Lonchura striata: one gene and its partner. The protein of the gene in region 2 binds, or shares a complex with, the protein of the main gene of each other region. Links are inferred from orthologs where the notes say so. Each region holds a gene or a part of one and is shown on either strand. Other genes may lie near its edges. The genes, in order: PAG1 and CSK.

What was found.
Region 1: the proteins of CSK (region 2) and PAG1 are in contact, whole or in part, in an NMR structure (PDB 2RSY), measured with the Rattus norvegicus proteins. The link is inferred for Lonchura striata from reciprocal best matches to the Homo sapiens genes CSK and PAG1. Residues at the interface, in NP_001025210.1 of Rattus norvegicus: Thr88, Arg89, Glu93, Arg107, Ser109, Thr110, Asn111, Tyr112, Thr117, Cys122, Glu123, Lys125, Val126, Glu127, His128, Tyr129, Arg130, Ile140, Asp141, Tyr156, Asp161, Gly162; in NP_071589.1 of Rattus norvegicus: Phe291, Ser292, Leu294, Tyr296, Lys297, Ser298, Arg299, Glu300, Glu301, Leu305, Ile310, Met313, Tyr314, Ser315, Ser316, Val317, Asn318, Lys319.

What each region holds. Positions count from the first base shown.
Region 1 is NC_134603.1:29,035,445-29,039,342, forward strand, and holds the start of PAG1 (phosphoprotein associated with glycosphingolipid-enriched microdomains 1), read left to right. Parts: upstream 1-876; 5' UTR 877-1,055; intron 1,056-3,898. UniProt on the Homo sapiens protein: Negatively regulates TCR (T-cell antigen receptor)-mediated signaling in T-cells and FCER1 (high affinity immunoglobulin epsilon receptor)-mediated signaling in mast cells.
Region 2 is NC_134613.1:5,943,200-5,947,097, forward strand, and holds the start of CSK (tyrosine-protein kinase CSK), read right to left. Parts: upstream 2,721-3,898; 5' UTR 2,642-2,720; intron 1-2,641. UniProt on the Homo sapiens protein: Non-receptor tyrosine-protein kinase that plays an important role in the regulation of cell growth, differentiation, migration and immune response.

The DNA of each region.
Region 1 (3,898 bases), on a different chromosome or scaffold from region 2:
GCAGACCCAGGCTCAAACCTTGAGCCAGCCATGCATCTGACAGCGCTGCTACTGCAGAATGGCATATGGGGTTTGAACTTATTATCAGGAAGAAAGAGCTCACTGGGTGTTAAGTCAGTCCTTACATATGGGTGGAAACTCGTAGTAATTGTGCAATTTCCCTAAAAAAATCCCCAGAGATCTCAGTTCGGTATTTTGCTTTTGCAGCCTTTCCTGCCTTTGCTGTTACAGTGCTTTTCACTTGCAGTCGTAGCGTTTCCCTACATCATGTAAAAATACGATTATTTCTTTTGCTTGAAGACCTTGGAACAACATTAAAAAGCCACCAGTAACTATGCAGAGGTTCCTTTTGTCAAAATACCTGTCTTCTTTAGTCACGTACACTTAACGAGGAGAAAAAAAAACCCAAGACCAGGATGCTTAAATTCGTCCCTTTTTCCTCCTTTTCAGGCCGGCCACCGGAGCATCCTCCAGCCGCGCAGTCCCCTGTGCAGCAACCGGGGCGGCGGCCCCAGCATCCGCCGCCGCAGCGCCGGCCCGGCGGCAGCTGCTCTCCGCTGCTCGGGGGCGGCCAAGCCCCCCAGGGGCCGCGGCAGTGCCGCAAGGCGGGCAGCGGAGCGAGGCGCTGCGGCGGAGCGAGGCGCTGCGGCGGCAGCCGTGCCCCGCAGCCTCCGCAGGGGCGCGCCGGGCCGCGCTGCGCCCGCGCCCGCGCTGCGCTCGCTGCCGGCCGCGCCGCCGCCGCATCCCGGCTCCGCTGGCGGCTGCCGGCGCGGGGACATGCGCAGTGCCCGCGCTGCGCTCCGCGGCCGCGCTCCGGCCCCTCCGCCGCCTCCCCCGACCCTCCCGCCGGGCGGAGGAGGGGGAGGGAGAGAGGGGGAGGAGGAGGAGGAGGAGGCGGGTAGGGAGAGAAAAGGAGAGAAGAGAGACGAGAGACGCGCCGCAAGTTGGCTCTCCTCCCTCGCTCCCTGGCCGCGCCGCTGCCCGGCCCCTGCGGGCTGCGCTCCGCGGGAGGCGGCATCCAGGGACGCACCGCTCCGCGGGGCCGGCGCCTCCCGGTGAGTTGGGGGCGGTGCGCGAAGTTGCCGTGTCTGTGTCCGGGGGTGCTGGTGCAGTCGCCGCGGGGGCCGGCGGCGGGGCCGCCGCAGGGCTGCCCCTGCCCGGCCGCGGTCCGCGCTGCGGGCGCTGCTGCGGGCGGCGGCAGCGGCAGGAGCGGGCACAGGTGCGGGCACGGCCCCGGCCGGGTCAGCCGTGCGCATCTCCGCGGCGCGGGGTTACCGCGCCTCCCCGCTGCCACGAGCCAGCCCCGTAACCCTATTTCCATTGCAATCCTATTACGCAGTGACAGGCTCCACTTTGTTTCGCTGTGGCATCTGCTCTTGGGCTTGGAAAGTCTTTAGGAGGACGGGGTCGCTGGGGCGAGCGGGGTCTGCTCCTCGAACAGAGCTGCCAGCGCAGATTGTCCCTAACGCGTCGTGTGCCCGGTGTGCTGCGCGCAGCTCTCGGCTCTCGGTGCTCCGGAGAGGGAAAGGAGAAACTGACCCACGGTCACGCCTGAAAGTTGTGCAGCTTGAGATGCGACGGCAGCTAATGGGCCAATTAGCTAAATAAACAAACATTGTGATTTATAGGTGTCTGAACTATAGCGCTTTGAACGATAGAGCTCTTTAACCTTTCTTTCTAGTCTATCCTTCAGAGATTTAGTTTTAAGGAGAGTAACATATCGTCTGTGGTGCTGAATACACGAATTTATTACATCTGTGAAAGGAACGGCCTTTGAAATAATACTAAGCCATTAAGCAATAAATGCAGAAAAAGAGTGAGACAGAGAAAGAGTGAAGGAAAAAATCTCGGTAGAAAATATTTCTCCCCTTCCTAGCAGCCTAGGAAGCCTAGCAGCTGTGCTTGATTAACTTTTATCCAGAGTTCTCATTTTATGAAATTCAACTTCAAAAACACAAGCGCGCTGTGTGAAACCAGAGGTAAATCCTCCTTAGTCCTCTCAAAGTCTGTCTGTGTTGCAAATAAATGATGATTGGAGCAGCATCTGTTAAGAGAATTTGTAGAAGCAAACACTGCTAAAGATACCCAGTAGGTAAATGGAAGTACATTGTTATTGCATTTGTTTCTCTTAGGCAATACAGAACAAGATATTTCAAATTCCAGGGGGTTTTATTTTACATCTTTAAAATTTTTTCAGCTGCACAGCTTCATTATTGCAAAAGTGCCTCCTCTAATTGGAAAAGTGATTAATTCAGTCCTTAGCTTTTTTATCAAAGGCCAGCTTCTGCAGTCTGTGGGGCATCTCCTGTAAGGGGTGAGTATCTTCTGCACTCATTGAAAAAGAAAATAGTACAGCATGTGTAACACCATGCAAACCTGAAATACCAGAGCAATTCTATATTTAACCAGTTTTTCAACACAGATTTTTATTAACATAAAATTAATATTCAGGTCAGCAAATGGGACCTGCAACTTCCAAGAGGCAACACATTGCTCATTTGAGTAAAGGTTGTGGGATATGACAGTCATCAAACTCACCCATCTTTTGTTTGGTTCCTTTTATGAGGTGTTATTTTATGAGGAAAAGAAACTGGTAATGCATTGTGTTTTAAGATACAGTGCTCCTCATAAGCCTCATTGCCAGGCATTTGAAAGTGGCTTTGGATCATGTATTGTGTACAAATTACTACTACTAGATAACTTAAGTTCTGAATTTATTCTACTATTAAAGTTATATTGATCAGAAAGTGACGACTGGATTCCAAGTCCTAAATAAGGATGATCTGAGAGGTAATTTATATTTTAGAGAGCACTGAGGAGTCCACAAGAAAAGCTATCAAGTTTTTCTTGCTGGACATGTAGTGGCATTTAGTTTAAGGAACCCTCTTTCCTGGTGCACTAGCAACTTAATTGACATATAAAGGAATTAAATGAGTTTATCAGCTCATTGATGCCCATGGTGAAGTGCTATAGAGTTCAATGGCTGGAACAGGACAGTTATTTTGCTTCCAGTAAGGATAGGGCTAGAGAATTGAGGGGCTTTTTCAAAGTAGTTCCAAACCCGTATAGTTTGTAACTCTAAAATATAATGCAAGAATAAAATCAATAGACCAAGAAGACTCAAAACCATGTGTCAATTAAAACAATAAATCATTCAAATAACATTACCCATGCCCCTACAGCAATGCCTCTGCTTCCGGGTCTCGAGAATGGGGCGGGTTTCAGGCAGAGGATGCGAGGGTAGCTCAGCCCTGGAGTGGCAGTGGGGAGGGGCAGGTGTCCTGTAGTGTGGTGGTTGTGCTGGGGCTGGGAGGGAGCCCAGGCAGGCTGAAGGGGTGCAGAGGGCTGCCACTCACCCTTATCCCCAGGCTGCTAAGCTGAGATGGGGACTGGCTCCCTCCCATATTCGAGGGTTTGCTGGATGTGTGGCAACTGCTGGCCCAGCCCTGCATGGAGCCAGCAGGGGAGAGGTGCTGAATGAGGCCCAGGTTGCACAGCTGTAGCTCACAGGCAGGCTGCCCTGGCTGCTTGCTGCCCATCCCAGCATTGCAGGGATGCCATCAGTGCTGCTACTGCCTTATACTGTGTATAATAATGCCAAAAGAATTCCAGTGAGGGAAGAAACTCAAGTTTCTTCCATGGGAAAATGGTCCATTTGTAAATTTTTATATGATTAGATACTGCTTTCATGGAGTGAAACATGGAAAGGTGAGCAGTGTATACTCATTTGTGCAATATTATGAGAAGTAAACTCTAAATTTTGAAATCACTATGCAGTCATATGAGCTCATGGAGGACCTGTGAGAGCTGCAACACAGATGAGAAAGCTGAATCCTGATTTGGCTGCCAATTTACTGCAGATAGTTGAGATGTCCTTGGTTGCTGTTCCCCCATCTCT
Region 2 (3,898 bases):
TAGCCTGCCTTCACAGAGAAAATTTCTTTTCCCTGCTAAAGAGGAAACTTCCTGAGCAAACCCCACCAAGAACACGCTCCAGCCAGCCCAGGCTTTTTTATCTTCCCGGATCGTGGGTATTCATGGCACAGGACCGTGGCATTGTTATAATTACACACAATAAATCTGCCTTTCAGCTTTAAAGAGGGAGGTTGTTCCAACACCAGAGCCCAACACAGGCCTTCCTCTTCCGAGCTTCGTTTTCTTTTTAATCGTTACCTAATTTCTGCCTCAAAGCCGAGACTTTCCGAGGAAGAGGAGGAGGAGGAGGAGGAGGAGGAGGAGGAGGAAACCACACGGGGCAGCTGCCAAGCAGCCCCCCAAAGGCCTCGTGTGCCAGGCAGCAGTTCCTGCCCCGCGCCACCCGGCCAGCCCTGCGCATCCCCTGGGATGCTGGGCTGGGAGAAGGACGTGGAGATGCTGCCAGAGTGGATCCAGGGCTTCAAAGCAGCATCCTGAGCCTGCTGGGAAAACGCGGGCATCGCCCCTTCTCTCCTCCAGGAGGATGTGTGGCAGCACGTGAAAGAAATTAATAATAATTTTAAAAATTAGCCAGGGAGCAGCCGGGCGGATTGGGCAGAGCCGGGTGCTGGGTTTGGCTGCTCCCAGCCCTGCCAGGCCAGGGTTTGCTCCTTCTGCAAGCTCCCCGCTCCCAAACTGGGGCTCAGGATGTGCTCAAAACCAAAACCCAGCTCCCCTGCTTGCCCAGCGGAGCATCCTCCGTGCAGGAGCCCCAGCGGGGATCTCACCCCCAGGTCCATCCCATGCCTCCCCCAAGGCCCTGCTCCCAAATTTCCCGTGGGAAGGCTGGCCCAGCAGCCAAGAGCTGGGCAAGGTGGGCAGGTACGGCCAACACCTCTGAGAATCCAAAGGGCACCAGGAAATGAGCTGGGCACAGCGTTCCTCTCAGGAATCAAAATAAAATCCAGTCGTGCCAGAGCCACGGGCGGGCTGGGAGAGGAATTTGGGACCTCCACGGGAGCACCATCACCACGGGGTGGGCAGATGCTGCATCTGGGTTTCAAACCCAAGCAGGGGAAGGGGGCAGCACCTGCCCAGCGCCAGGATGACTCTGTTGAAATGAAGTTTGGCTGTTGATGGCACAAAAGGCTCATTCCCAATGGGAACAGGTGTGTGGGCACCACCCACACCCACCCCTTCCGTGCACCCACCTCCCGGTGAAGTCCTCTAAACTTCAAAAAACAACCCAAAAAAAAAAATCCCAAACCGACCCCAAAGCAGACAACATCCTCCCTGCCTCTGAAAGATGTTATCTGCTGTTATTACAACGAACACCTACGATTACACTAATCGAAAGAAAAATGTTCCTCCTTCATCTCGCTCGTCAGCACGCAGCGTTTCGGAACTGCTCCCCCAAACCAGCCCCTGCCGGGCGCCCTGCTGCAAAAAAGGGGGGAAGGAGCTTCTTTTTCAGGGGTTTTTAAAATGCTTTCAGAAGGGAAAGAGAGGATGCTGCTGGTGGCACCCGGGGGACAGGTGGAGGCCTGGAGAGAAGCTGCTCCCAGCCCCACGCTGCAAAGAGGATTTCCTGGTTCTCCTTCACCCTGCAAAAACCTCAGCAGGGCGACTTTCCACCAAAAATCACCCCAGTGTCCCCTTCCCAGGGGCTGCCACCTGGGGACGGGGACAGGGCGCGGAGTGGGGCACAGGAAGGTTTTTTTGGCAAATACTCGCTCAAAACCGAAAAGCTGGGGGCAGGCAGTGGTGAAAGGGCAAAGAAGCACCCCAAAAGTCCCTGGCTTTGCAGGGGTTGCCCCACGGCTCCATCGCTCCCACGCCGCTGGTGCTCCACGAGGGAAGATGGGGACGCTCCCAAAACCTCCCGCATCCCTCCGGGGACGCTCCCAAAACCTCCCGCATCCCTCCGGGGACGCTCCCAAAACCTCCCGCATCCCTCCGGGGACGCTCCGGACACTCCCTGCCTCGCCAGGATGGGGCCCTGCTCCTGCGTGGCTCAGTGGGAACAAACCCCTGTCCCGGGAGGAAGGCTGCCATCCTCCTCCTCCTCCTCCTCCCGCTCCCCAGCCCTCGCACCTCCGATTTGCCTTTTTTTTTTTTTTTTCCCCGACTTTCCGATTTTTCGGGGGACTTTTTTTTTTTTTTTTTCCGCCCGATGGCACAACCCCTTTCGCTCTCGCTAAAGCAACGAGCAACAGCCGCGGCTATAAATAACCCGCCGACGCCTTAGTGCCCAGAAAAAAAAAAACCCAAAAAAACCCCAAAAAACCCAAAAACCCAACAAACAACAACAACAACAACAAAAGCCCCAAATTTTCAAACACTCAAAGCAACAAGGCGCCGCCAAGCCCTGCGAGCAGCCGGGCGCCCGGGATGCTCCCGCGGGCCTTTGTACGGGATGGGGATGCAGCGGCAGCGGAGCCGGTACCCCCGGCGGGGCTCGGGCCGGCCGCGGCATCCCCCGGGCTGCGGCGGGGGGCGCTCCCCGCCCTCCCGGCAGGACGGGACGGGGCTCGGGGGTCCCCGGGGACCGCGGCGGGGCGGAGCGGCCGCGCGGGGTCACCGGGGGTCAGCGGGGCCGGACCGCGCCCCCCGCCCCATTGTCCGCGCCCGCGCCACTCACCTGGCCGGGGGCAGGGGCGCGGCCGCCGCCGCTGCTCCATGCGGCGCCGCCGGGGCCTCCGGGCTCGGCTGGGCCGGCGGGGGGGCGCGGGGGGGCGGAAGGGGCGGGGGAAGCCGGAGCCGCCGCCGCCGCCGGAGCGCGGCGGGGCCCAGCGCGGCGCGGGGGGCGCGGGGCGGGCGCGGGGGGCGCGGCGGGGCCGGGGCCGGAGGGGCCGGAGGGGCCGGAGGGGCCGGAGGGACGGAGCGAGGCGCGGAGGCTCCGAGGCACCGAGGGAGCGGCGCCCGGAACCGGAGCGCCCCGAGCGCAGCGCGCATGCGCCGCCAGCACCGCGCCGGCGGCGGGGCGGGGGCACCGGGAGGGGCGCGGCGCCACCTGGCGGCCACCGCCGGCAGCGCCACGGAGCGGGGACAGGGACAGCGGGACGGGGGAGAGAGGGACAGACGGACAGAGGGACAGGGGGACAGGGGGAAAGGGGGACAGAGGGAAAGGGGGAAAGGGGGAAAGGGGGAAAGGGGGACAGAGGGACAGGGGGACAGAGAGAGGGGACAGAGGGACAGCGGGACGGGGGAGAGGGACAGAGAGAGGGGATAGAGGGACAGCGGGACGGGGGAGAGAGGGACAGACGGACAGAGGGACAGGGGGACAGAGGGACAGGGGGACAGAGGGAAAGGGGGAAAGGGGGACAGAGAGAGGGGACAGAGGGACAGAGGGACATGGGGAAAGGGGGACAGAGGGACAGAGGGACAGGGGGACAGGACGGGGGGACAGAGAGAGGGGACAGAGGGACAGGGGGACAAGGGGACAGAGGGACAGGGGGACAGAGGGACAGAGGGACAGGGGGACAGAGGGACAGGAGGAGAGGGGGACAGAGAGAGGGGACAGAGGGACAGAGAGAGCGGACAGGGGACAGAGGGACAGGGGGACAGGGACAGGGGGACAGAGGGACAGGGGGACAGAGGGACAGAGAGAGTGGACAGGGGGACAGAGGGACAGAGGGACAGGGGGACAGAGGGACAGAGGGACAGAGGGACAGAGGGAGAGGACAGAGGCATAGAGGGGCAGGGGGACAGAGGGACAGAGAGAGGGGACAGAGGGACAGAGGGATAGAGGGGCAGGGGGACAGAGGGTCAGAGGGACAGGGGGACAGAGGGACAGAGAGAGGGGACAGAGGGACAGTGGTTCAGTGGGACAAGGGGACAGAGGGACAGTGGTTCAGTGGGACAAGGGGACAGAGAGAGGGGACAGAGGGACAGAGAG